Linked DNA regions of Macaca mulatta. The main gene of each other region encodes a partner of the protein of the gene in region 4 in a complex. Links are inferred from orthologs where the notes say so. Each region holds a gene or a part of one and is shown on either strand. Other genes may lie near its edges.

Region 1 (3,500 bases), on a different chromosome or scaffold from region 4:
GGATAGTTAGAAGACAGTATCTGGAACTTTTAAAGCACCTCACATTGAAAATACTTTTTATGCTTCCTGTTTCTTTTTTCTTTTTTTTCTTTTCTTTTTTTTTTTTTTTTGAGACGGAGTCTCGCTCTGTCACCCAGGCTGGAGTGCAGTGGCGCGATCTCAGCTCACTGCAAGCTCTGCCTCCCAGGTTCATGCCATTCTCCTGCCTCAGCCTGGGTGACAGCTTTTTTTTGTATTTTTAGTAGAGACAGGGTTTCACCGTGTTAGCCAGGATGGTCTCGATCTGCTGACCTCATGATCCACCCACCTCAGCCTCCCAAAGTGTTGGGATTACAGACGTGAGCTACCGATTATGTTTTTTTTTTTAATGAACTAGAACATAAATGACATAGTAGGGAAATGCATCCCAGAAATGGGTATTAATCAAACCACAGACATTCTTCATCTACCTTGAGAAAAGATACAGGCCTTTTCTAATGTTTTATAACTCTTAAATGGTTAGGAAATGATAAGAAACTGTACATTATAGATTAATGTATAATTATAGTTATGGATAAAAATAACCTGATCAACATAAATTTGGCTTCCAGGCCCCCTAGAGCAAGGGTCCCCAACCCCTGTCCATGCCTTGTTAAGAACCAGGCCGCACAGCGTGCGGTAAGTGGCAGGCGAGCGAGCATTACAACCTGTGCTCTGCCTCCTGTCAGGCAACGGCATTAGATTCTCATAGGGGCACAAACCCTATTGTGAACCGCACATGCAAAGGATCTAGGTTGTGCACTCCTTATGAGACTCTTAATGCCTGATGATTTAAGGTGGAATAGTTTCATCCTGAAACCATTCCCCACCACGTGGAAAAATTGTCTTCCACAAAACCGGTCCCTGGTGCCAAAAAAGGTTGGAGACTGCTGCCCTAGAGGAACACTGCCCAATAGAAATATAATGTGAACCTCAAATCTAATTTTCTACTAGCCACATTAAAATAGTAAAAAGAAACTGATGAATTTTAATAATATATTTTATTTAACTCAATATATTCAAAGTGTTATTTCAACATGTACCAATATAAAAATATTCATGAAATATTTACATACTTTTCTTTTTTTCTTTTTCTTTTTTTTGGAGATGGAGTCCTGTTCTGTCACCCAGGCTAGAGTGCAGTGGCATGATCTCACTGCAACCTCCGCCTACAGGCTCAAGCGATTCTCCTGCCTCAGCCTCCCAAGTAGCTGGGATTACAGGCATGCACCACCACGCCTGACTAATTTTTGTATTTTTAATAAAGACGGGGTTTCACCATGTTGGCCACCTGGTCTTGAACTCCTGACCTCAGGTGATCCACCGACCTCGGCCTCCCAAAGTTGCTGGGATTACAGGCGTGAGCCACTGCACCTGGCCTCTAAGTGTTTGGGCTCCAGTGCCTCCTTTTACCTGCAGTCCACACAAGTTCTGACTGGCCTCACTGGCAGAGCTCGGTGGCCATGTGTGGCTGGTGGCTACTGTACTGGATAGTCCATGTCTAGAAGGAAGGAAGAACATGAGACAAGGATGAGGGAAAGAGCCTGGGGCAGGTTAAAGGATGCCTTTGAGACCTCCTTCCCGCTAAGATCTGGAATGTGTTAGAATCTGAGAACCAGCCTGCCCCTCTTGAGGCTCATGCCCCTGCTCTGTGTGTTCTCTTTGGCAGGTTTGTTTTGGAGCAGTACAACGCTCTGTCCTGGCTCACGTGCAATCCGGCCACCCAGGACCGTACTTCCTGCCTTCCCGTCCACTTTGTGGTGCTCACTCAGTTGTACAATGCCATCATGAATATACTTTAATTGGAAAAGCACTTGTTCTCTCTGGCTCAGTTCCTTCTCCCTGCAACCTCAGTCCAAGGAACCTGCTACACTCTGCAAATAACCCACATCCTTTTCTTCAGACACTCTCCACAGTCCTGCACTGTGATTCCTTCTCAGCAGGCACATGTCAATTCTGCAGTGTTCATTACCAGAGTGACTCCTTGACACTTCTCTCATGGACCTGGAAACTTCCATACGTGGTGACTTTCAGCCAGTGCGGTGGTGTATGTAGCCCCCAACCACTGGTCCCCGGAAGTGGTGGTGGTTGGTGGCTTTTCAGCGGGAAACAGAAGAGACAGTGTCCTTTTGCACAAGAGTCTGTGTTTTCAGCCTCTGTATACAATTGAGGGCAGTCTAGCCCTTTGGATGAAATCCTCTAGTTACTGGTGTATGGCCTGTGGGTTACCTGAACTCCATAATCTGGGACTTTTTAAAAATAAGAACCAGCTCAAGTACATGGTTTCATACTGGGGTTCCTGTCTCCCTAGTGCTCCCATCCAGATTGGCGTGAGTGCTTCGGCAGACTTCACACCTGTGTGTGGATGCAGAAGGTCTGGAGACAGCTTCATTTTGTTTATTTATTTTAATTTGTTTTGTCATACGGTTTTTGTGACTTTGTTTTTTTAATTCACGAGGACCAGGTACAGTAGCTGAAACCCAATTCAGATCCACCATAGGATTCTTTGACTACATACCTCTGTCCTAGAAGCCGGAAAAGGAGTAAAAACACATTGGGGAGATCATGCCTAAAAGTAATATATTCAAAACCACCCAGCAGTAGGTTTTGTTAACAACAAACTGAGTTTTAAAAGTTCTGCCATGTTAAGTGGCCAGCATTTCATGAAGGATAACATTTTTATACAGAAGGCAGTCAAGCTCAACTCAGAGCCATGGAGGCAAGTACCTTAATTAGTTTTATATAGTCACAACGGAAATATATTTTCTAGTGAATTCTTACCGAAAGCCAGGTCTCTCCTCTCATTAGATCAAAAGGGACTTATGTACATACAACAATTGAAAGTGTTTGCTCATGAAATCAGTTATAAATATGGTGAATTTTTTCTGGACCATAGGAATATTATTTCAAAGAAATATTACAACTTAACCATTAAATTAGTACTTGAAGTTGAGCCTTTGTGGTGGGACTTTTTAAAAAATGCCTTTTTAAAGCATTAATGGCTAATTGAAGTATTTTATGACTCCTCATTCCTGGCCCAGAGGGTTGTCTTTGAAACCCTGTTTCTAACCCTTGTGTTGTGTGTTTCTGTCTGAGGGCAGTGGGTGTGTACTGGCCTCCCGGGAGCCACTGTGACCAGGCCTTTGAGCTCTTGTCATCTGTGGAGAGAATCATGCAAATTTTAAAAGTTCTTCCAAGAGACTTCCATGTCCTGGTTATTAACAAAAAAGGAAAAATGTAATAATTGATATGATTTTGTAAAAGTATTTTTCTTGAAATAATCTAAAGTTTAAAACATTATATTAAAAAAAAAGTTGTGTGGTGGGAATGTGAAAGCAGAGAAATAACTTGTAAATGGATAATTTTCTTCTCTGTACCACCAGTTGAAGGGGGGTTGACTTTCGCAATGTATAGGATAAAAAATCTGATATATCAAACCATTTGTATCTAATGTGTACAGTGTAAAATTGACTTTAAAAATA
Region 2 (3,981 bases), on a different chromosome or scaffold from region 4:
CCTGAGTTATAAACCTGTTACAACAATTTGATTAACTGTCTTTGTCCTGCCTCTGTATCCCTGCTTTCACGCCACTGTAAGTTTGCTTCAAGCTAGCCCACCCCCTTTTGTGAAGTGTGTATAAAAGTCAAGTGCTGTCTTTGTTCTAGGCCGTCTTTGGACGTGAGTCTGCTTGGGCCTGAGTGCACTCAATGAAAGATTCTCTTGCTTTAAGCGGAAGACTCTCTCCCGTCCTCCTCAATCCTGAAACAGTGGCTCACCCCCGTAATCCCAGCACTTTGGGAGGCTGAGGCAGGCAGATCACGTGAGGTCAGGAGTTCGAGACCAGCCTGGTCAACATAGCGAAACCCCGTCTCTACTAAAAAAAAAAAAAAAAAATTAGCTGGGTGTAGTGGCGTGTGCCTGTAATCCCAGCTACTCAGGAGGCTGAGGCAGAATCGCTTGAACCCGGGAGGTGCAGGTTGCAGTGAGCCAAGACTCTGCCACTGTACTCCAGCCTGGGAGACAGAGCAAGACTCTGTTTCAAAGAAAAAAAAAAAAAGGTCTGATTCAAGCCACAGAGGGATCTATCCTGGCTCTGACCCATCCCCCTGCATTGAGACTACAATGTACGCATCTGGAAAAGGAGAACGGGGTAAATAGAAAAAGAGAGGACATAAAGGGGACAATCACACAGGAAGTACAAGGTGGCTGCTGGAGCTCAGCCAGGCCTCCCTGAATGGGAAGTTTTTCCTACTTCTAAACTGGTTGGCAACATTGCTGAGCACACAGAAGCCACAAAAGTGACTTCTGACAAAAACACAATCACCTTCAAAGTCCTTTAAATCGCTTCATGTATGAGATGTTTCCTGCAGCTCAAACCCAAGCCATCCCTCATTCACGGCCCCTCACAGGAACCCCAACCCACCCTAAGTGGGGGAAAAGCTCACTTAATGCCATCGAGCCAGGTGACAAACTCATAGGCGCTGCTGGTGGGAGCGTGACATTGTACATAGGACTCGGGAGCGCAGTCCACTGTGTTGAACACCACGAGGCTGTACTGGGTCCCTCCATACTGGGAGGGGAGAACAGAAAAACTTTTTTTTTATTTTTTATTTTTTTTTTTTGAGACGGAGTCTCGCTCTGCCGCCCAGGCTGGAGCGCAGTGGCCGGATCTCAGCTCACTGCAAGCTCCGCCTCCCGGGTTCACGCCATTCTCCTGCCTCAGCCTCCCGAGTAGCTGGGACCACAGGCGCCCACCACCTCGCCCGGCTAGTTTTTTGTATTTTTTAGTAGAGACGGGGTTTCACCGTGTTAGCCAGGATGGTCTCGATCTCCCGACCTCGTGATCCGCCCGTCTCGGCCTCCCAAAGTGCTGGGATTACAGGCTTGAGCCACCACGCCCGGCCCAGAAAAACTTTTAATCTGGGATCTCCATTCTCTTTTCCCTCAGAGAAGGAATCAGGGCTCCCAGCTTCCTGTTCCTCCAGAACCAGGAACTCCTCAACTTCCTCCTTCCTCAGACCCAGGAATCTCAGCCCCATCCCCTCCTCCCTCAGACCCAGGAGTCCAGACCCCTGTCCCTCCTCCCTCAGACCCAGGAGTCCAGACCCCGAACTCCTCCTCCCTCAGACCCAGGAGTCCAGGCCCCTCCTCCTCCCTCAGACCCAGGAGTCCAGACCCCGAACCCCTCCTCCCTCAGACCCAGTAGTCCAGACCCCTCCTCCTCCCTCAGACCCAGGAGTCCAGGCCCCTCCTCCTCCCTCAGACCCAGGAGTCCAGACCCCGAACCCCTCCTCCCTCAGACCCAGGAGTCCAGGCCCCCAGCCCCTCCTCCCTCAGACCCAGGAGTCCAGACCCCGAACCCCTCCTCCCTCAGACCCAGGAGTCCAGGCCCCCAGCCCCTCCTCCCTCAGACCCAGGAGTCCAGGCCCCCAGCCCCTCCTCCCTCAGACCCAGGAGTCCAGACCCCGAACCCCTCCTCCCTCAGACCCAGTAGTCCAGACCCCGAACTCCTCCTCCCTCAGACCCAGGAGTCCAGGCCCCCAGCCCCTCCTCCCTCAGACCCAGGAGTCCAGACCCCCAGTCCCCTCCTCCCTCAGACCCAGGAGTCCAGGCCCCCAGCCCCTCCTCCCTCAGACCCAGGAGTCCAGACCCCGAACCCCTCCTCCCTCAGACCCAGTAGTCCAGACCCCGAACTCCTCCTCCCTCAGACCCAGGAGTCCAGACCCCGAACTCCTCCTCCCTCAGACCCAGTAGTCCAGACCCCGAACTCCTCCTCCCTCAGACCCAGGAGTCCAGACCCCGAACTCCTCCTCCCTCAGACCCAGGAGTCCAGACCCCGAACTCCTCCTCCCTCAGACCCAGTAGTCCAGACCCCGAACTCCTCCTCCCTCAGACCCAGGAGTCCAGACCCCGAACTCCTCCTCCCTCAGACCCAGGAGTCCAGGCCCCCAGCCCCTCCTCCCTCAGACCCAGGAGTCCCAAGACTCACGTCTCCCCCGAAGTCCGTCTCAGCAGGAGGACCACCATTAAAATACCTGTGAGGGTCGGAGGTGAAAGGTCGGAGTCAGGCAAGAAGCTGTGGAAACTGAAATGGGAGGGCGGGATTAGAGCCGCGGAAACGGCACTCACTCGATGGCCGGCAGCAGGTAGTGCTTGCGGAGTCCCTCGAAGTAGGGTCCCAGGTTGGCCGTACCCTCAATCACAAACACCACGTCGGCCACCAGGCCCCCGGCGCGGGCCGGGCCCTCGGACCCGGGGACCATACCCCGTGCGGTAGCCGCCACCGCCACAGCCGCCGCAGCCGACACCGCGGAATGAGCGGAAATGCGCCTGCGCTGCGCGCGCACCCGCGCCGGGCGGTTTAGGGACGCTGGGAATGCGGCCATGTTTGTGCGGGGCACGCGCTGAGGCTTCGTTCTAGCTCCATCCTCCTTCGCCTCCACCGCGTGGAAAACTCAGAAAGGGCATAGTTAGCCCTTTTAGGGGCCTGATGGGTTCGACGGAATTCTTGTCAGGATTCTCAAGAGCGAAATAAATTGAAAGCGGCTCAGTCAGCCGCCATCTTTGAGCGGGGCGTCTGGGTCCGCCTCTTGTCTCAAAGGGAGGGGCGGGAGACCTGGTTGCTATGCAACGCGTACGCTGCCCTTGTTTTCGTTTTTGTGTTTTGTTTCCTTTGTTTTCGAAAGGGGAGTCTCGCCCTGTCGCCCAGGCTGAAGTGCAGTGGCGCGATCTCGGCTCACTACAACCTCCGCCTCCCGGGTTCAAGCGATTCTCCTGCCTCAGCCTTCCGAGTAGCTGGGATTACAGGTGCCCGCCACCAGGCTCCGCTAATTTTTGTATTTTTAGTAGAGAAAGGGTTTCACCATGTGGGCCAGGCTGTTCTCGAACTCCTGACCTCAAGTGATTCGCCCGCCTTGGATTCCCAAAGTGCTAAGATTACAGTCCTGAGCCACAGCGCCGGGACCTCTGCCCTTGTTTTCTAACCGTTAGATTAAGTTTCTGATTCTGTTCTTTTGGGCGGGCGGACTGGGGGAGGGAGGCGAGAAGGATCCAATCACATCGGCGGAAACGAGGTTACTAGGCAACGCTTTAAGGTCGTCCTCAACTTGGAAGGGAGGGCAGTTGTTTTCCCCCTGAAAAGAAGCCGAATACCAACCCAAGTGTGGGTTGCTTAGCAACACCTGAGCGTTGTTTTCCGGGAGAGGAGCCAGAAACTGGCCTAGAACATAAATACATTCCAGGTAGATTAAAAATGTAAGTGCGACAAATGAAACTCGAAAACTATCTGAAGGAAAAAAATCTTAATGACTGCCATTGAGTTTCTTAGCACTACAGCAAAGTCAGAAAACGTAGTCTTTATTAATTTTTCCCAAAAGACTGCATAAACCAAGTTGAAAAATACACTACCAACTGGAATAATCTAACGTGTTTGTTGACAGAAATGTGCTACACAAATCTTATTGATGAATAATATAGAAAAATAGAAACACTGCATTA
Region 3 (3,998 bases), on a different chromosome or scaffold from region 4:
GGAAATAAATTTATATGTGCGGGGGAATTAAAATGGGGGAGGCCGGGCTACGTGGTTCACGCCCGTAATTCCAGCACTTTGGGTGGCCAAGGCGGGCGGATCACTGTAGGTCAGGAGCTCGAGACCAGCCTCACCAACATGGTGAAACCCTGTCTCTACTAAAAATACAAAAAAAGGAAAAAAAAAAAAAAAATTAGCCGGGTGTGGTGGCACATGCCTGTAATCCCAGCTACTTGGGAGGCTGAGGCACGCGAATCGCTTGAACCCCGGAGACAGAGGTTGCAGCGAGCCGAAATCGCGCCACTGCACTCCAGCCTGGGCGAAAGACACTCCGTCTCAAAGAAAATAAATAAATAAATAAAACAAAATAAACCAACAAAAAACCCTGCATATCTATATTTTCGAATTTTTATGTAAGATGTCTTCATTGTATGGGTTCAATTAAAAAAGAAAAGACAAAAGGAATGGAACTACCAGCTGCGACTGTCAGCAGAAGAGTTGTAATGCGGGCAGCGGGTGGAACACACGAACAACCTTTGCTAGGTTTTCTTTGGGAGGTTATTTTCACGTCATAAATGTCTAAATTCATGGAAGTCTTACAAGAGCATGTTACATATTAAAATATAAGATTTTTTTTTTTTTTTTTGAGACGGAGTCTCGCTCTATTGCCCAGGCTGGAGTGCAGTGGCCGGATCTCAGCTCACTGCAAGCTCCGCCTCCCGGGTTCACGCCATTCTCCGGCCTCAGCCTCCCAAGTAGCTGGGACTACAGGCGCTCGCCACCTCGCCCGGCTAGTTTTTTGTATTTTTTTTTTAGTAGAGACGGGGTTTCACCGTGTTAGCCAGGATGGTCTCGATCTCCTGACCTCGTGATCCGCCCATCTCGGCCTCCCAAAGTGCTGGGATTACAGGCTTGAGCCACCGCGCCCGGCAAAATATAAGATTTTTTCTAGTCAATAAGGGGTCTATAAAAAATAAAGCAATAAGATGTCTTGTTTAATTTTATGCCTTAAAGAAACGAAGAAACAACCCTCACCTACTACTTTTAAAAGTCAGTGAAAGGGGTGGCGATGGCAGGAGTCGAATATACGCAGGCGCAATAGCGAGCGATCGGTCTGAGGCGGATCTAGAATCTCGTTAAAGGACAGCTCCTACAGCCAATCAAAGACAGAGTCGGTGGCTTCTTCCAGGAGGAGACCGGAAATTGGTTTCGGCTGCAGAGGGGGAAGGCGGCTACCAGTGTAAAGCCAGAGTTGAGGTGAGTGGGCGGCAACGGCTTGGGGCTCCCGCGTGTGTGCGTTTTTTTCTTCCGGACCCCGCGGTTTCCTCTGTGCTGGGCTGGGAACTGGGGAGGCATGGAGGAGTTCGGCCTCCGAAGACGCTCTCTCGTCTTTCTGTCCCGAGTCTCTCCGAGAGCGCGGCCTCCCCGCCGCTCGTGGAGGTCTCGGGATGGACAGCCTGGAGGAGGGGGCTCTTAGCGCTGCAGTCCCAGGGCTTCCTCCGTGTGGGGACGCCGAGCCGGAGTGGAGGTTGGGAGACGTGGTGTCTAGTCCCCTCGCCGCTGTTTTTCTAGGCTGTGTCGCCTTGGGCGAGTTATTTGCCCTTTCTGGCCCTTTGTAACATGAGAGTAGCCCTCCCTGCCCTTCCTTCTTCTGGGAGCAGTTGTGAAACAGCTGAGATACGGGGGCAGGCGAGGGCAGTAGATCCCAACCAAGCCTAATCGTCAGGTCCATCTGGAGAGGTTTTTAAAGCGACATACCAGGGCCCATTCACAGTGGACAGAATGAATCAAATCTCTGGGGCTGGGACCCTGGAATATCTGTCGTCTTCTGGTGAGGCGCCTTCTCCCCCAGAACAAACACTAGATGTTGGATCTTGAGTCTAAGAACCAGTTATGATGCTTGGCTCTGGTTTTATTAAAATAAGACTTCCATCGCCTTTGAAAAGTTCCATCTAGAGAGACAGTAGAGAAAAATATAATTTTTGTAATATGCAAGTTCTAATTGTACAATTAGATGCTTCACGGCTTAGAGATATAAGAGAGCTTGCCCTTTGGAGCTAAAGGGACCTGGGATAAGAATTCCTGTTGTACCATTTATTAACTTTTTGATCTGGGGCAACACTTCCCCTCATTGAGACTTGGGATCTTCACCTCTAAAATGAAATTGATAATAGAACTTAATTCATGGGACTCTGTGGTGGCTCACGCCTATAATCCCAGCACTTTGGGAGGCCGAGGTGGGCGGATCACTTGAGGTCGGGAGTTCCAGACCAGCCTGGCCAACATGGTGAAAACCTGTCTTTACCGAGAAATAAAAAATTAGCTGGGCGTGGTGGCACACACTTGTAGTCCCTAGCTACTCAGGAGGGTCATGCAGGTGAATCCCTTGAACCCGGGAGGCAGAGGTTGCGGTGAGCCCTGATCATACCACTGCCCTCCAGCGTGGGAGACAGATTGAGACCTTGTCTCAAAAAACAAAACAAACAACCTTAATTCATAGAATTGTTATGAAGATTATGTTAGAGAGGCCATAAAACAACAGTATCTGTCACGTAGTTGCCTTAGGAAAATGACAACCTAAGTACAGGAATGCACATCGTGTAGGAAAGTACAGAGCAGCACTCCTCACCTAAAAAGGTTTGAGTGGAATGAAACGTAAGGTGTCAAAAACTGTGTTTTGAAGTACCAGATCAATGTTAATTCCTTGATTTTGGTAATTGTGCTGTGGGTAGAAGAAAACATTCTTGTCCTGGGAAAACACATTGAAGTATTCAGGGGTGAAGGAATGAGAAACCAATAAAGCAAATGAAGGAAAATGTTAACATTTGGAGAATCTGAGTGAAGAATATGAAGTGTTCTTTGTATATTCATGCACTTTTTCTGTAATCTGAATTTATGTTATAAGTTTTAAAATGTTGGCTGGGAGTGGTGGCTCACACCTGTAGTCCCAGCACTTTGGGAGGCCAAGGCAGGAGGATTGCTTGACCTCAGGAGTTCAAAACCAGCCGGAGTAACATGGCAAAACTCTGTCTCTACAAAATATACAAAAATTAGCTGGGCGTGGTGACATTTGCCTCGTACTCCCAGCTGCTTGGGAGGTTGAGGTGGGAGGATGGCTTGAGCCTGGGAGGTCGAGGCTGCATCATCCTATGCACTACTGTGGCATGGTGGAAACTCAGGGCTGCACCACGCCTGCCCTTAGTACCTCACGAATTCTAAGTATAATATTGCTTCTAATAGAATACTTGCCCCACCTGATGTTAGAGGGTGTTATATCTTGAAACTTTGATAATACCAGTGTAAAGGAGCACTTCAGAATCTTCTCATTGGATGGTATATCTAGGCTTAAGGTAGAGTAAGTAGAGGTTATTATGGCCATAGAAGATACTGGGTTTGAACCTGGGGTTTGAAATTTCTGTGATAGTTGTAGGGAAGTTAATGTGTCCATACAGGCCGGGCGCGGTGGCTCACACCTGTAATCCCAGCACTTTGGGAGGCCAGGGTGGGCGGATCACCTGAGGTGGGGAATTAAGAGACCAATTTGGCCAACATGGCGAAATCCTGTCTCTACTAAAAATACAAAAATTAGCCGGGCATGGTGGTGTGCGCCTGTAATCCCAGCTACTTGGGAGGCTGAGGCAGGAGAATTGCTTGAGCCCAGGAGGCGGAGGTTGCAGTGAGCTGAGATCGCACCACTGCACTCCAGCCTGGGCATCAGAGCAAGACTCCGTCTCAAAAAAAAAAAAAAAAAAAAAAAAGTTAATGTGTCCATATAAAATTGCATAGTTTACTGTGACAAAAAGGATATGGAACTGAATCATTTCATTCAGGAACTTTGGATAATACCATGTCTTTAGGATTTAGCAGTGTTAATTTTGTCAGTGTTTATGAGAGATACAAGTAAGTGTTTGCTATTGGAAATCAATCTGTAACATAAAGCAAAAGTGATTCTGATATGAGATTGGGAGACAACGTGTAGTTTGGTTATGGAGGAGTAG
Region 4 (3,248 bases):
CTGCCCCAGCTGCAGGCATCTTTGCGGCTGGTCAGAGAGGGTGTGGAAGGGACCTGCTGTTTTAGCCCCCAGGGGGGTGCTCTGTGTCTTGCCCCTAGGGAAGAGGTTGCTGTTCCCACTCCCTGAGGGTTGAAGCTCCTCTGCCCAGGTCCAGCCCAGCCCACAGCTGTTCCCCCGAGCCCCCCTCCCGCCCCCGTCTGCAACCCTCCTGCCCCCTCCCTTACCCCAGGGTTGAGGGGATGACAAGCTACCCAAGTGAGTTCACCGCCTCAGGCACAGCCTGTGCCATTGACTCACCAGCTCTGACCTTCCTTCCTTCCCCCAACATGCCTGGAGAGGCCCGGGCTGGAACTTGGGACTACTCCCCACCTTCCTGCCTAAAGAGCACACCCCCCCACCCCTCTCTTCCCTGGAGGGCATCCTTCTCACTGTCCTCTCCTCCCTGCCAAACTTACTGCAAAGGGCTCCTTCTGTGGCATTTTTCCTGTTTCCAGAGATTTCTCCTGAGCCTGAACTTTTCTCTGAAGGCTTTTAGGGACTAGGGGACCGATTATACACTTGATCAGAAGAAAAATGCTCCAGCTGCAAGCGCTGTGACCTTTAGTGACTGAGCCAGCCCCCATCTGGGTCTCCTCATCTGTAAATGGGGTGTTGTGAGGAGTAAGTGGCCTAGGAAGTACCAAGATCGGCCCCTGGCGCTGTGTGCTCGCCACACGTTAGTTTTTCTCTCTCATCTCCGTTGGGATCTCTCTGTATCCGAGGCCCCTCTGTGCCTTTGTTGTTGTTGTTTTTTGAGTTGGAGTCTCCCTCTCTTGCCCAGAGGGAGTGCAGTGACGTGATCTTGGCTCACTGCAACCTCCGCCTCCTGGGTTAAGCAGTTTTTCTGTCTGAGCCTCCTGAGTCGCTGGGACTACAGGCGCCTGCCACAACGCCCGGCTAATTTTTGTATTTTAGTAGAGATGGGCTTTCGCCATATTAGTCAGGCTGGTCTCAAACTCCTGAACTCAGGTGATCTACCCGCCTTGGCCTCCCAGAGTGCTAGGATTACAGGCATGAACCCCCGCGCTCAGCCTGTTTTTTTGAGACAGGGTTTTGCTCTGTTGCTCATGCTGGAGTGCAGTGGCACCATCTCGGCTCACTGCAGCCTTGTTCTCCTGGGCTCAAGCAGTCTGCCTCAGCCTCCCAAGGAGCTGGGACTACAGGCTTTGGCACCATGCCCAGCTAATTTTTGTATTTTTTGTAGAGATGGGGTCTCGCTAGTTGCCAAGGTTGGTCTTGAACTCCTGGGCTTAAGCAGTCCTCCTGCCTTGGCCTCCCAAAGTGCTGGAATTACAGGTGTGAGCCCCTGCACCCAGCCTCCCTCTGTGCTCTTGATCTCAGGGTCTTCTCTGGGCTTTCCATGTACCAGTTACCTCCGATGGGTGAAGGTCAGGTGGGGGTATCCCCAGGGAGCGCCGCTTTTGCACTCGGCAGGCTGTTCCCCAGCGCTCTGTCTGCTCTGTCCCACAGCAGACCGGTCCATGAGCAGCTCCCTCTCAGCCTCTCAGCTCCACACCGTCAACATGCGGGACCCTCTGAACCGAGTCCTGGGTAAGTTCCCCACCCGTGCTGCTGAACCTGGGGTTAAGCTGGACGAGTCCCTCTCCTCATGGAGGCTGGGCGACCTTGTCATCTGGAAGGGGCCTCATGGCGCCCCTCCCTTCTCCCTCCATGCTCCTCATTGCTGGCTGTCCTGGCTCCCAGGCTCCTGTCTAGTTCCCCCCCTCCCCTCCCCGGTTGCCTTTTATATTTTCTCTCTCTGACACCCCGTTTTGGGGACATGCTCAGCATGTATTTCTTTTCCCTTTTCAGTCCCGCCTTCTCCCAGAGTGTGACCTCACCCCCTCTCATGGAACTCCCTCCTGTCACTCTCCACAGCCAACCTCTTCCTGCTCATCTCCTCCATCCTGGGGTCGCGCACCGCTGGGCCCCACACCCAGTTCGTGCAGTGGTTCATGGAGGAGTGTGTGGACTGCCTGGAGCAGGGTGGCCGCGGCAGTGTCCTGCAGTTCATGCCCTTCACCACCGTGAGTACCACCTTCCTGGCTCTCCCGCTGGTGCTGGGGCCTTGGTGCAGCCCTTGGAGCAGGGAGGGGCCTCCTTCCCCTGGGACAGCACGCCCACCACCAGCCATCCAGCAAGCAGCATCTCTGTCTGTGGCAGGTGTCGGAACTGGTGAAGGTGTCAGCCATGTCCAGCCCCAAGGTGGTTCTGGCCATCACGGACCTCAGCCTGCCCCTGGGCCGCCAGGTGGCTGCTAAAGCCATTGCTGCACTCTGAGGAGCTTGGCATGGCCGCAGTGGGGGCTGGGGGCTGGGGACTGGCACAGCCCCAGGTGCCTCCAAGGGAAGCAGTGAGGAAAGATGAGGCATCGTGGCTCACATCCGCTCCACATGGTGCAAGAGCCTCTGGCAGCTTCTAATTCCCCGCTTCTGACTCCTGACCTCCAGGATGTCTCCTGGTTTCCTCTTTTGAAATTTCTTCTCTGTCTGCCAGCACCTGAGGAGTGTGAGCAGCCTGGACCACAAGCCCAGTGGTCACCCCTGTGTGCGCCCGCCCCAGCCCAGGGGTAATCTTACTTCTGAGGAACTTTCTAGACGCAGAGAGTGTGTGTGTGTGTGTGTGTGTGTGTGTGTGTGTGTGTATATATTTTGTAATATGTGAGGGAAATCTACCTTTGTTCATGTGTAAATAAAGCTCCTCGTGGATCCCTTTGCGACTGTGGGTGCTGTTGGTATCAGTGTCACCCGGGGCGGGGCACAGTGCTCTCTCCCTGGACTGCCTGTGCTGTGGCCGGGGAAAGCGCACTCCTGTGGTGAGGAGGAGGAGGAAGAGGTGCAGAGGTGGCAGGGCTTAGGGTCCTATGTGGACTTGCTCAGCTGAGGAAGGGCCAGGGGAAAGCAGCTTCCCTTCCTTGGAGCCAAGTTGGCCGGCCTGCTGCCCCTCCCGCAAAGCCAGCTGTACCCTGAAAGGGGAGAGGCTTTGGCTCAGGGCCCCACAGTGCTGGGGCAGGGTGGCCTGCTCTGCTTTCTCCCGAACCTGGCCCAACCCTACCCACACTCTGACTAGCCTGGGATTTGGTCTGTTGCCTCCAAAAAAGGACTGGGGGATGGGAGGCGGGGGGATGAGGGCCGGACCTTTCTTTAACCCTTCCTTGCCTGCCTCACACGTCTCCGAGCCTGGCAGTGGACACTTCTGACCCTGCTTTC
Region 5 (4,200 bases), on a different chromosome or scaffold from region 4:
TGTACGACTCAAGCAGGTGGAATGAAAATGGAACTAGGCATGTGCTGCTGAAACTGAGAGTAAGATGGTATGGATAAGCTTTGGAGCTCAGGGGTATAGGAAAAGTTTTAGTACAGCTGCTCTAGAAACAGGAAAGGAAGCTGATAAAGGAAATGGAAAAGGCAATATTGCCAAGTACTAAATAGGGCACAGTCTGAAACTGGGAGAGGAGTGTGGTTCGCCTTTCTATCGAGTCTCAAATGAAAGACCGCCCAATCAGAGACAGATGGGCAGACCTGGTCAGAGCTTGGTATCAGTGGGACATTTTCAGGAGGACAAGGGGGTAAAGGCATGGAGGCTGCTACTGAAAGAAGCCAGCCTGGGTGAATAGGAATGGAAGGGAAGTCAGCCAGGGCTGAGCACTGGAAGAACAGGGAAAGCAGAAAGCCAGCAACCCAGAAGAGGTCGAGGGCAGGGACCTGCAGGTGGCATGGACCTGTGCAGCACAGCAGACAAGGTATGCGTTTGAACCAGGCCACCATGGTGCTAATCCGGGCTCCGCTGTTTTTTCCACTACGTAACTTTGGGCAAACTACTTAATCTTGCTGAGCCTTAATTTCCTCATCTGTAAAAAGAGTAATACAAAGATCAAAATCTCTTATTTGAGCCCCCTCAAACTAGATAGTATTAGAATCTCAAAGTGTTCAGATTTTAGGAAAGCAGTATACTGCACAAACCATATATTATTTAACATCCCCCTATGAGGTTTGGGGCAGCATCCTGTAATTAAATGTTAATATTTCTTCTATGAAATGAATCTTTACGCTAGAAGGAACTATAAATACATTCATACCATTTCAGGTCAGATTTTACTGCCAAATGAATTCTGACACTTACCTTTTAAAAAAAATGTTTAAAGATGTTTCAAGTTCATATGTGCCATATTGGTGGACCATTAATAGAACCCACCTCATAAGGCCATGTCACGAGGATTAGATGACCAAATTAACATTAAGCAGTGAACACAGTGCCTGGCATGTAGTTACGTCCTCAATACATGCTGCTGTTAGTGTTTTTCTCATCAGCATCATCACTGTTGATGACAGTGTGGCTGAAGTAAAAGGGGGACTGATAAGTGGGGAGGAATATAGAGAGGGAGAAACACAGTGAAAATAAGGCAGAAAAGCAGACCAGATGGGGTTTTGAATACCAAGTTAGGAGTTTGGATTTTATTGAGTAGAAGCAGACAGAGCAGAGAAAAAGACTATAAATTTTTCAGAAAATCAATGATATCAACAGATTTTTGCTTCAGAAAAACCATTCTAGTGGCAGTGTGAAAGAGCGCAAGGAGGCTAAGACCTAGCAGGAGAGCTTTGTGGTAAGCCAGGTGACAGATGATGAGGGTCTCACATGAGGCTGTGGGGGGTGGGATGAAATTCAAAGGGAGAACGGACAGGATTGGGAAACTGATCGGGTGTGGGATGGTGAGGACTAAGAGAAAATACTATCACAGAATATAAGGGAGTAGAAATATTCCAGAAATAGATGGGCAGTAATAATGTTAAATGTAGCAAAAGAAAGAAGAAGATAAGGTGTGGAAAGCATTCTCTGGGTTTGGCAATTAGGATGCTACTGGCAATCTCAGGAAGAGCAGGCTCAGTTGACTCCGTGAGAATGGAAGCCACACGTTATCAAATGTCATAGAGCAGCCAGTAAAATACAGACTGAAAAAATAGGGGTTGAATTCACTAACAAGGAGGTTTTCAATGACCTCTGACATTCATTGCAGTTTGACTTAATGAAGTATTATGGGTAACCTGCAAACCGCAGTGGTTTGGTATAGGGATGGGAGAGTAAGGAATAGATTGTCCAGTAGATTGGTTTTCTCTATGAAATGGGAGGTGATCACTGGCTGTGGGCATTGGGAGGGAAGGAACTAGTTTTCCAGTTTGAAATAGGAGATTTCAATTGGGGCTGAACGACTTTCTCTGTAAGTGGACAGTAAATATGTTAGGCGTTGTGGGCCATAGCCTGTCACATATCCTTCTGTGCTTTTGTTCTGTTTTGCTCAGCAACCCTTTAAAAATGTAAAAATTTGTTTGTTTGTTTGTTTGTTTTGTTTTCTTTTTTGAGACAGCCTTGCTCTGCCACCCAGGCTGGAGTGCAGCATCGTGATCTCAGCTCACTGCAACCTCTGCCTCCTGGGTTCAAGTGATTCTCGTGCCTCAGCCTCCCTAGTAGCTGGGATTGCAGGTGTGTGCCACCACGCCCGGTTAATTTTTTGTGTTTTTAGTAGAGTGGGGGTTTCACCATGTTGCCCAGGCTGGTTTCAAATTCCTGGACTCAAATGATCTGCCTGCCTCCCAAAGTCTCCTAAAATGCTGGGATTACAGGCATGAGCCACTGCACCTGGCCTAAAAACACAAAAATCATTTTTAAGCCAGACCACACAAAAATAAGCTCTTGGATAGATCTGGCATAGGAACCAGAGTTTGCTGACCTGATTTAGATTACTCCCCTTTCAAATCTCCCCAAGTGACAGAAACGACTGCATGTTCATTGTAAAGCAGAAGCACCCAGGACAAAGACAGAAGAGACACAAAACTGGAAACCAAGTAGACAAGTGGAAGTCAGCAAACTCAGGAAAGCTGAATCCTGTGCTGGTAGTGGGAAAAGTTGAACTGAACGTGAAATATATCACAGAACTCCCCAAAGACTCAATCACTGGCAGCATCAGGTACCACTAGTAGAGGGAATGAAGATGATACTGAAAACAAGATTCCCGGTTTCTAAACATGAGCAGGCAGCCAAGATCATGAGGCATTAGAGGAAAGTATTTTATATAAAGACAGGAGACCAAAACAAATGAAATCTAAATGCAACATTGAAAAACTGAAGAGACTCAGGGGGATGAAAACTCAGGAAAAAAAAATCATTAAACTCCTCAGAGAGAAGACATTTTACTCATGAAACAGGTAGAGGATATCATAAAAAATATATTTGGTGAACAAAAAGAAAAAAGTTACCCTGGAAAATGAAACACATAATAGCAGAAATAAAAAGGGCTGGAAAAGGAATTGGAAAAGTTAAGGAAATTTCTCACAATATAGAACAAAAAGATAGAGATGGAAAACGATTAAGAAAATATTTTTAAAAGATTAAAGGACAAGTCCAGAAAACATGACTTCTGAATATGGGAGTTCTAGAAAGAAAGAATAAGGGGAAAAAATGAAAAGGCGAAAATGCTGAAAAGAATAACTCAATAAAGCTGTCCCCGAACTAAAGGTTTTGAGTTTTTTGTGCTTAAAAGGGTCCTCTGAGTGTCCAGCACAGTATGAAAATAGCTCTCCATCAAGGTACATTATCGTGAAATTTCAAATTTCTAGAGAGAACAACAAACAGACTTTATATAAATAATTAAAAATCAGAACAGCATTAAGACTCCTCAAGCAGAACACCAAAAGCCTAGAATACAATGGGGACAGTACCCTCAAAATACTGAGGAAAAATGATTTCCAACCTAGAATTCCATACGCAGCCAGACTATCAATTAAGTGTGAAATCAGAATAAAGACATTTTCAGGTATGTTCTCAAAAAATTACTTCTCATGTATCCTTTCTCAGGAAATTAGTACAAGATGTGTTCCATTAAATGAAGAAGTAAAAAAATATGGGGCCCAGGAAATGAGATATACCACAAGAGGATGGTGACAGGGACTTCAAGACCACAGATGTTTGGCTACACAGAGAGCAAACCACCCAAGGAGAGCATGCAGAGGCTCCCAAAGAGAGTTCTTCAAGAAAATGAAGCTGACAGACAATCTAACATGTCTGAATATATGGAGAACGATTTATACAACTGGAGAAGAGTTTAGGGTTGAATTAGTGACAAATACACAAAAAACTAAGGAAAGTAAAAAGCAAGACTTTTACTGACTTCAGGAAAAACAAAACATGCAGTGAAAAACTAGTAATCATGGTATCTATGAATAGTGTTTCTATGGTCATGGTATATAGATTCAATATTGCTCTAACTATATTAGGAGAATTGGAGGATAGATTGCATGGCTATGGTAGAGGAGTGGTGAGTGTGACAGAGTATTAAATATTCATCTTCCATTGAAGAAAGTCAGTAGGTAATACTCAAAACAGAAAAATCAAGAACTGGCAACATACTCTTGTTATTAGAGATTCAGTGGTTAAAAACCAAACAAATTAGCT
Region 6 (4,300 bases), about 56 Mb from region 4:
GAGCATGTTTAAGGTAGGCTAGGCTAAGCTATGATGTTTAGTAGGTTAGGGATATTAAGTGCCTTTTCAAATTACCGTATTTTCAACTTACAATAGTTTTAATGGGAGGTAACCCCATTGTAAGTGGAGGAACATCTAGTACCTGGCACAGAGCAGGTTCTCAATAAATATGACTCTTCTCCATCTTCTTCAAACCTCAGACCAGGTTTCAATGGCCTCCTCTCACTTTCTCTTCTAAGATTATTTTTGCTTGCTGGTGGGTTTACTGTCATTTTTAACTACATCTAACCTACCTTTAAAAAGTGTATGGATGGGAGTGCCAGGTACAAAGACTTAGCATAAAGAAAACCACCAGTTACCTTGAAACATAAACAAAGGCCATTAATAATTTATGAGTCTGTTCCTTGCCCCTCAAGTTTCTAGCAGGCATGGAATCATTCCACAGGTCATGATTTCAGTTTGGTCTCTGTTCCTAAGGGGTGAAGGTCTTCTGAGGGCTGTGGATCCCAAACTCACCTGGCTCAGAGGCTCAAACAGCCTCTTTGTCCATCAAGCCAATTTAGACAGCATCCTGGGCATGAAAATCTTTTGTGCTGGCTTCAAGTGAAAATAGTTCACTGGGTCAAAAGTAGGCTGGTCCAAGACGCAGGATGGTCAATAAACGTTGGCTGTGTTCAGAAACTGCGGCTTGGCTGTTTCTTCCATTGATTTATGGTTTGTTTCCATGAAACCGAAAATGATTGGTCCACCTGGCAGCTGGCTGGCTGGCTGGCAACTGGAGGCCTTTCTGTCCTGGCTGAGGGCCCTGGCCCCTTGGTGGCCTTTGGGAAGCAGCATCTCATCGGGCCGGTTTTTCGTTCTGGCGGGCGGCCGGCTTGGCCCGCGGGGCTGGGCTCTCCGCGCAGTGCAGAGCCGTCTCCACCCTCAGGGACGAGGCCCTGATGTGGCGGGACGTCGTTTCCGTGCGCTGCGAGGAGGATTCCACGTGCCGGGAGGACGCCTCGAGGATGCCAGGGAGCCGCTTCCCCAAGGGGGAGAGGGAGGGCCCCTCGCTGCGGCGCTGGGAGGTCTCCACCCGCCGGGACGACGTCTCCACGCGGTGGGACGAGGTCTCCACACGGTGGGACGAGGTCTCCACGCGGACTGTGGACGTCTCTGTGTAGCGGGTGGTCCCCACCCGGGGAGAAGACTGCTTGGCCCCTCGGGCTGAGGCCATTCTGCCGGCGTGAGGGGGCCAAGGAGGCCTCGGGGCACCCCCCAGCCCAACGGTCACCGCAGGCAGAAGAGAGGAAAACTACGGTACTGCCATAGCCGGGAGCGCCACAACACGATGACGTGGAAACACCATGATCCTTCCAAGGCTAAAAACACTGGGCTCCTGCCCCTCAGGCGCTCCCACGGCCCGGGCCCCGCCCCCTCGCTATTTTGGAGCCAGCGCGGGTGGAGCCATCCCAGGGCTGGCGGGATGGGCGGAGCCGCCCGGCCCCATATCCCACAGTGCCCCGGGACCGGAAGAGAGAGCCGTGGTTTCCGGAACTTCCCCCGCCACTCTGGGCTTTTGCTCGGTCAGGCTGGTGGCGTTTTGGTGTCTTCGTTTGTTATGGCCGCTGCCGTCGCTATGGAGACAGGTGAGTAGCTCTCTGATCTTGGAGTCTTCGCAGATGGAACTCCCCTCGGTCCAGACGGCTTCCCCGTGGCCTCCTTCCAGGCCTTACTCTCGGCAGGGTTAATATTTGGACAAGGAGGTGAGAAGGCTCTTGTAGCGTCTAGAAAGACTAAGGTACTCTTTGCAGTTTTCCTAATTTGGTTTGTTCGCACATCTTTGCTATTCAGACACCACCCTACCAGCTCCCCGGCGTGGGTGAGACTAAGGGAGAGGACTTGTGTGTTAAACCGTCTCCTCCTTGATTGGTTTTCTGCTTCTCACATGAGCTTGCCTAAGTTTGAAATATCGTCGCCGGACTTTATGTGTCATTCTGCTACTGGTGCTTCTTATATGCATACGCTCCATGATCTTTTAGGCTCTGCGCAGTCTCTTGCATCCTAACTTTTTCTTAACTGATTCAGCACGTAGCTTTTGCAAAACTTAATCACTGTTAACAATTGTTATAACGCATTATTAACATAGGGGAAGCCATAGTTGTTACAGCCTACCTTAGTGATCTTAGGAATTCTCCGTTTGTGTTGCTGCTTTCTTTGATGATTTCTCTTTAATTTTAGAGAAACTTCTAACTCCTTTTAATCAGGGCTCCGCTTTTCTTAGATTTCGAAGAAAGGTTTATCTCCCCCAACTCCCAGTTTAGGAAGACCATCTCGGCATTAGTCAGGTTTCTTTATTGCTGTTTCCTTACTACAAATCAGTATTATATACAGTGACCCTTACTTTCCATGATTTTTGCTGTCTTGTCTCCTAGATGATGCTGGAAATCGACTTCGGTTTCAGTTGGAGTTGGAATTTGTGCAATGTTTAGCCAACCCAAATTACCTTAATTGTAAGTTGTTAAGCACCTCATTAAATTGAGTAGCTACTAATGATTTCTGACAGAAGAGTTGCAATTCAAAATAGTATCTACTTTTACACATTCTCAATTGAATGACATTACACTTATGCTGGTATATAGATATAATTGCGCACTGGGATTTGTGTTTTGAATTCAATGTGTGTTGGTGGTGGGGGTTTTATGTAAATAGATCCTTTACATTAGGGGTAACAAAGCATAGTTTAAAGATTGGTTTGACCTACAGACATTTTTTTTTTTTAATGCTTTTCAGTTCTTGCCCAAAGAGGTTACTTCAAAGACAAAGCTTTTGTTAATTATCTTAAATACTTGCTTTACTGGAAAGACCCAGAATATGCCAAGTATCTAAAGTAAGTTTAATTTTTATAATCCTAAGCATGTGTATACTTTATGATATGATAGATTTCTTCGTTTCACATTGGCAAAAATGTATTTGGAATCTCTCCACTTCTTTTCGTTGTCACCATCTTAACACAAGACACTCTCATCTCTAACTTGTATCACTGCAGTAATCTACTCCCTGGTTATCTCTGCTTCCACTTTTACCTTCCTGCCCCCCCCCCACCCCAAACCAAACCAAGCAAAACAGCTTTCTACACAGAAACCAACTTAGTCATTTAAAAATATAAATCAGAACACTTTACTTTCTTGCTTAGAACCTTTCCATGACTTTCCATACCATGCAGAATAAAATCCAGTCTCTTTTCTTGGGCTAAAGCCCTATATGATCTGGCCCTGCCTTGTCTGACCTTGTCTTTCACCACCCTCCCCATCTCACCAGGTTTCTGGTCCCGAAGAACTCACAGTCTGTAAATGAAGTGACATAAGCCATGGGCTGAAATTAAAAGAGGGTATCTGTAAGGAAGGTGTTTCTGGGGTTATTTGGAGGAGGTGATGTTAACCTGAGTCTTAGAGTTGCTATCTTTTATTTAAGGCCTCTTATGTGCCAGAAACAGTGCTAAATGCTTCATATGCATTAACTCATTTATATATATATATATATATATTTACCATTCAGGTCATTCAGCGACACTTTTGTGTTAAGGCTTACTGAATTGCAAGAAGCATATAACCACAAACCTATTCCCTTTTAATGATTAAAAAAAAAAAAAAAAAAACACCTTGAACTCATCCCTGCTTTGTCTTAAGCAGGTAGAAAGCAATAGTGAACCTTAAAAAAAAAAAAGTTTGAGAGGAAAATGTTTCAAACTTGTTTCGAAGTCACTTTTCTGTGTCCAATAACAATTGACTCACGAAGCATATACATCTTATATTGCCTTCAGGACCCTTTGCACCTTTTCTGGCTTTTTATCCATTTAATAATCCAAAGAAAAGACTTTTAAGAAAAATAGATTTCAACAAATGTTGTATGTATGTAGATTTACAGACTCAGTGTTGGAAGCCTTAGCCACCAACAAGTTTAATCTTACCCAAAACGTTGCCGAGAGATGGTCATCTACACTCTGGAGGTTTTCACTGAGCCCATGTTACTCTGTCAGGGACAGCTGATTTGATTGTTAGCCAGATGTTAGAAAGTTATTCCTTATATTGTGATATAATGTCTCTCCTTGTAGCTCTAGTCTGATTGTAGTGTTATCCTTCATCTATCTGCAGTCACATGAAGTCTATTTGTCCCACTACTGGTGACATTAATTTTGATAACTTGGTTGTCCCTGGATTGAGCTAGAACCATTCTATACCCTCTTGAGGACAACAACCTTCCAGATACTTACATTCAAGAGAGATTGCAGATTAGCCCCTTTTGGGCATTTTATTCAGTC
Region 7 (4,059 bases), on a different chromosome or scaffold from region 4:
GTGGCTCAAGCCTGTAATCCCAGCACTTTGGGAGGCCCAGATGGGCGGATCACGAGGTCAGGAGATCGAAACCATCCTGGCTAACACGGTGAAATCCCGTCTCTACTAAAAAATACAAAAAACTAGCCGGGCGAGGTGGCGGGCGTCTGTAGTCCCAGCTACTGGGGAGGCTGAGGCAGGAGAATGGCTGAGGCAGGCGAGTGGCGTAAACTCGGGAGGCGGAGCTTGCAGTGAGCTGAGATCCGGCCACTGCACTCCAGCCTGGGCGACACAGAGAGACTCCGTCTCAAAAAAAAAAAAAAAAAAACTTTTAAGATCCATTTAGTCAACAAAACTTTATGGAAAATAACTATGACAAGTACTACATTTAAACACTATAGAGACATAGTGAATGCGACATAGCTTCTGCACTCATGGTTTTCAGAGGGTAGAACAAATGTTAAAAGTTATACAAATCTGATTAGGATAAATGCTAAGAAGATTCCCTCTATTTTGGTTCACATCACTCCATATTCCAATTTACTTCAGAACCTAAAGCTGAAAATACTCAATTCATTATAACTCCCTAACCACATACTGTTTTTCCATCACTTAAATGTCTCCTGAGTATATGACATTTTTTTAACCTCCTTAAGGAGTATCTCTTTGCAAACATGATAGTGCTTATACACAGTAGGCACTCATACTAGTTATCCTAAAGGCTTTTCTCCAAAATCCAATTATCAGCATGCCTAACCTGGAGTTAAGGCCATATTCACTCTGTCCTTACTATCCTTCTAGTTACAAGACATGTATGAATATGCAAAAGTTTCCCTAAAATAAGATTTCTATCCAGCAGCATCATTACAATTTGATTTTGTAAAATCTCAAAGGAGTAGTTCCCTGAGGAAGGCTGACTGGCAGCTCAGGCAAGTCCCTGCAGGGCAGAATTTATCTTGGTGAATTCAACATTTAGAAGCTGGTCCTCTCAGCCTTAAAAACTAGTGTTATTCACCCAGGGTAGATCAGTTTATCACAAGTAGATTCACACTCTTCAAGTGTACAAAGCCTGATGTATTAAGAAAAATGCCAAGTTATTAGCTTACAGTGAGGAAAAAAAACTGGCAAAGAAACCAGGTACTTAGGTTTTCCTCTCAGCATGTTTTCTCTCTAGCCCCTCATCTAGGACGTTAAATCACAATCAGACAATGAGAAACATAACTATCAATGGAAAACTATTTAACAGAAAACTATGTAACTGGTAATGGTAATAAGTATACCCATTGCAGCAAGAGAATACCCACTGACGTCTTGGTCAACGGGATGCATATATTATGTCGGTCCCCTATGGTTATAACAACGCTGAAAAATTCTTACTGCCTAGTGACATCATAGCGGTCTGTGCTTGTGGTGACGCTGCTGTAAAGCAACCTACGGCACTGCCAGTGTATGAAAGTCTAGCACATACAATTAAGTACAGTCCATGATACTTGATAATGATACTAAATGACTTTGTTACTGGTTTATGTATTTACTGTTTCCTCGTTATTATACATTGTACTTCTACTTATTAAAAAAAAAAGTTATCGCCGAAACCATGCATTTCTCAGAACATAACCCCTTCATTAAGGGCCCATGACTGTATGCGCATCCTCTGGCTTTGCTTCTGCTTTCCACTCAGGCATAGCTTGGAGGAAAAATTACCAGAAGGAACAAAGCTGGGGAGCTACCTACAAGACTTGGCCTTTAATAGAGCGTAGAATTTGGGGGAGACGTTAAAAAAGACTTGTAAGCCGGGCACGGTGGCTCACACCTGTAATCCCAGCACTCTGGCAGGCCGAGGCGGGAGAATCGCTTGAGGCCGGGAGTTCGAGACCAGCCTGGGCAACATGGTGAAACCCCGTCTCTACTAAAAATAGAAAAATCAGCCGGGCGTGGTGGAGGGCGCCTGTAATCCCAGCTACTTGTTTGGCGGAGGCGGAGGGTGCAGTGAGCCGAGATGGCACCACTGTACTCCAGCCTGGGCGACAGACACAGTCTCCAAAGTAAAAAAAAAAAAAAAAAAAAAGGAAAGAAAAGAAAAAAGAAAGACTCAAATAAACGGAAAGACATACGAGAATCAGAAGATTTCCTATCATAAAGATGTCCCCAAACTGATGCATTCTGAGGGGTGGCCAAGAGACAAGAGATGGAAGGAGGCTCTGGGCCCACAGGAAGGAGCGAAGATGAAAGAAAATCTCTCACCTCAGCGTCGCTCCGCACCAACCTGAAAGCGCTGGTGAAGGAATACTCTCGGCTGGCATTTCATTACAAAAACCCAGTCATCCACAGCACGAGATCTCCCTTGGTGGATTCAAATTGATGAGGAAAGAAAAGAGCTCCTGCTTCTCCTCCCAACCCCCAAAAGAGATCCCGTAAGCACCGCTGCCAAGAAAATAAAACTGTCCTCAGGGAATACGACAGGACCGCGCAGCCGACAAGTCTTGGCGGCCCCACCCGGACAAGAGCAATCTTCCCGGTCTCCTCAAGCGAAAGAGGCTGCTCCCTCCCGCACCTTCAAGCACCGCCCGGCAGCCGGCCTCACACCTCCGAGTTCGCGGTGGCGCCTCCCGAGAGAGCGCTTTATGCCGAAGCCCTGTTTCTCAGTCCGCTTTCCACTTCCAAGTTTTGCCTCTTGGGCCCCTTTTCTCCCTTGCTTTACCTCAGGAAAGAGAAAGACAGAGGCTAATCGAATGAAATTCCTCACCGAATTCACAGCGTCTTGAAGCTGCGTGAGCCGATCCGCCATGTTCTTCCTGCAGCAAACAGACGCCAAAACAGCTGCTCTTCCGCGACTGGGCAGCTCTGGTACGCGTCATGGCCAATCCCAGCGCTGCCTTCTTGGAAGGGGTGGGGTCGGAGAGAACTCCCCGCCCCGTCAGGAGTGGGTGGTACTGCCGAGGCGGCCTTAGAGCGGGCTACACCAGAGGAGAGGCTGGATCTTTTGAGTAACTGGGGAGCGGCCTGGGGTCCATCGCTTTGAGGGGCTGAAATACTCTCTTTGAGGTTGTTAGGTGTTAAAGGCTTCAGAGATTGTTGGATTCAGCGGGGATTTTTTTTTTTTTAGTGATTTCTCCTATCCTCTCATGTGTTTACTTATTGACTACATTGAAGAGTAGATATATTTATTTATTTTGAGACGGAGTCTGGCTCTGTCGCCTAGGCTGGAGTGCAGTGGCGCGATCTTGGCTCACTGCCAGCTCCGTCTCCCGGGTTCACGCCATTGTCCTGCCTCAGCCTCCCGAGTAGCTGGGACTTTAGGCGCCGCCACCACGCCCGGCTAAATTTTTTTTTTTTTTTTTTTTTTTTTTTTTTTTGTAGTAGAGACGGGGTTTCACCATGTTAGCCAGGATGGTCTCCGTCTCCTGACCTCGTGATCCGCCCTCCTTGGCCTCCCAAAGTGCTGTGATTACAGGCATGAGCCACCGCGCCCGGCCAAGAAAAATCAGCTGCACAATTTAGATTTAGAGTTGGGACTTATTGAGAGATTAAGTGTGAAGAGTGATAATAGAAACTTGGTATTTAAGGAAATTTAGCCTGAGGATAGTCTGGTAAGAAATGAGTTTGGAGTCGGCAAATAACAGGTTTGGAGACATCAAACAAACTCTCATATCCTCTTTCTCAGGTTGATTATCCGTGATTACCTTCCTGCGGCTGCGGGGTAGGTGGTGGACACAGTCCCCGGGGAACTCAGCTTGCTGGATTTATCCCAACCCTTGCTGGGAAGCACCACTTCTGCTTCACACCCATGCCCCACCCTCATCCCCAAACAGTCTACAGACTTACTGGGGCCTCATTAAGAACGTGGATGAGGCATGCTCCCCATAATGGAACTAATGAGAAATCACTCCATAATTTGTTCTAACTGTAACTTGGGGGAATCTACAACCTTTTCCTCCCACCTTCACTTGAGCGTGTACCTTACTGAATGCCTGCCACATGCCAGGAAGTATATCCAGTGCTCAGTGTGCAAAGATGAATAAGCCAAGGACTCACCAAGAGGAAGGTTTTGCAGTTGTCCAAGATTAAGGTGAGCTGGGC

What was found.
Region 1: MED24 (region 4) and MED13L share a complex: the UniProt entries of both Homo sapiens proteins name them as parts of the mediator complex. The link is inferred for Macaca mulatta from reciprocal best matches to the Homo sapiens genes MED24 and MED13L.
Region 2: MED24 (region 4) and MED25 share a complex: the UniProt entries of both Homo sapiens proteins name them as parts of the mediator complex. The link is inferred for Macaca mulatta from reciprocal best matches to the Homo sapiens genes MED24 and MED25.
Region 3: MED24 (region 4) and MED7 share a complex: the UniProt entries of both Homo sapiens proteins name them as parts of the mediator complex. The link is inferred for Macaca mulatta from reciprocal best matches to the Homo sapiens genes MED24 and MED7.
Region 5: MED24 (region 4) and MED8 share a complex: the UniProt entries of both Homo sapiens proteins name them as parts of the mediator complex. The link is inferred for Macaca mulatta from reciprocal best matches to the Homo sapiens genes MED24 and MED8.
Region 6: MED24 (region 4) and MED31 share a complex: the UniProt entries of both Homo sapiens proteins name them as parts of the mediator complex. The link is inferred for Macaca mulatta from reciprocal best matches to the Homo sapiens genes MED24 and MED31.
Region 7: MED24 (region 4) and MED21 share a complex: the UniProt entries of both Homo sapiens proteins name them as parts of the mediator complex. The link is inferred for Macaca mulatta from reciprocal best matches to the Homo sapiens genes MED24 and MED21.

The regions. Positions count from the first base shown.
Region 1 is NC_133416.1:123,210,902-123,214,401, reverse strand, and holds part of MED13L (mediator of RNA polymerase II transcription subunit 13-like), read left to right. Parts: intron 1-1,687; coding exon 1,688-1,820; 3' UTR 1,821-3,500. UniProt on the Homo sapiens protein: Component of the Mediator complex, a coactivator involved in the regulated transcription of nearly all RNA polymerase II-dependent genes.
Region 2 is NC_133424.1:62,282,513-62,286,493, reverse strand, and holds the start of MED25 (mediator of RNA polymerase II transcription subunit 25), read right to left. Parts: upstream 2,801-3,981; 5' UTR 2,748-2,800; coding exon 2,614-2,747; intron 2,570-2,613; exon of another isoform or gene 2,520-2,569; coding exon 2,474-2,519; intron 1,055-2,473; coding exon 930-1,054; coding exon of another isoform or gene 908-929; intron 359-907; exon of another isoform or gene 261-358; intron 1-260. UniProt on the Homo sapiens protein: Component of the Mediator complex, a coactivator involved in the regulated transcription of nearly all RNA polymerase II-dependent genes.
Region 3 is NC_133411.1:166,007,764-166,011,761, reverse strand, and holds the start of MED7 (mediator of RNA polymerase II transcription subunit 7), read left to right. Parts: upstream 1-1,198; 5' UTR 1,199-1,257; intron 1,258-3,998. UniProt on the Homo sapiens protein: Component of the Mediator complex, a coactivator involved in the regulated transcription of nearly all RNA polymerase II-dependent genes.
Region 4 is NC_133421.1:64,372,116-64,375,363, reverse strand, and holds the end of MED24 (mediator of RNA polymerase II transcription subunit 24), read left to right. Parts: intron 1-527; exon of another isoform or gene 528-660; intron 661-1,509; coding exon 1,510-1,590; intron 1,591-1,917; coding exon 1,918-2,066; intron 2,067-2,202; coding exon 2,203-2,319; 3' UTR 2,320-2,748; downstream 2,749-3,248. UniProt on the Homo sapiens protein: Component of the Mediator complex, a coactivator involved in the regulated transcription of nearly all RNA polymerase II-dependent genes.
Region 5 is NC_133406.1:196,876,032-196,880,231, forward strand, and holds the start of MED8 (mediator of RNA polymerase II transcription subunit 8), read left to right. Parts: upstream 1-1,400; 5' UTR 1,401-1,404; intron 1,405-4,200. UniProt on the Homo sapiens protein: Component of the Mediator complex, a coactivator involved in the regulated transcription of nearly all RNA polymerase II-dependent genes.
Region 6 is NC_133421.1:8,131,825-8,136,124, reverse strand, and holds the start of MED31 (mediator of RNA polymerase II transcription subunit 31), read left to right. Parts: upstream 1-1,500; 5' UTR 1,501-1,600; coding exon 1,601-1,628; intron 1,629-2,414; coding exon 2,415-2,492; intron 2,493-2,772; coding exon 2,773-2,869; intron 2,870-4,300. Other genes in the region: C16H17orf100 (uncharacterized protein C17orf100 homolog), read right to left, coding at 839-1,216. UniProt on the Homo sapiens protein: Component of the Mediator complex, a coactivator involved in the regulated transcription of nearly all RNA polymerase II-dependent genes.
Region 7 is NC_133416.1:29,388,715-29,392,773, reverse strand, and holds the start of MED21 (mediator of RNA polymerase II transcription subunit 21), read right to left. Parts: upstream 2,801-4,059; 5' UTR 2,768-2,800; coding exon 2,726-2,767; intron 1-2,725. UniProt on the Homo sapiens protein: Component of the Mediator complex, a coactivator involved in the regulated transcription of nearly all RNA polymerase II-dependent genes.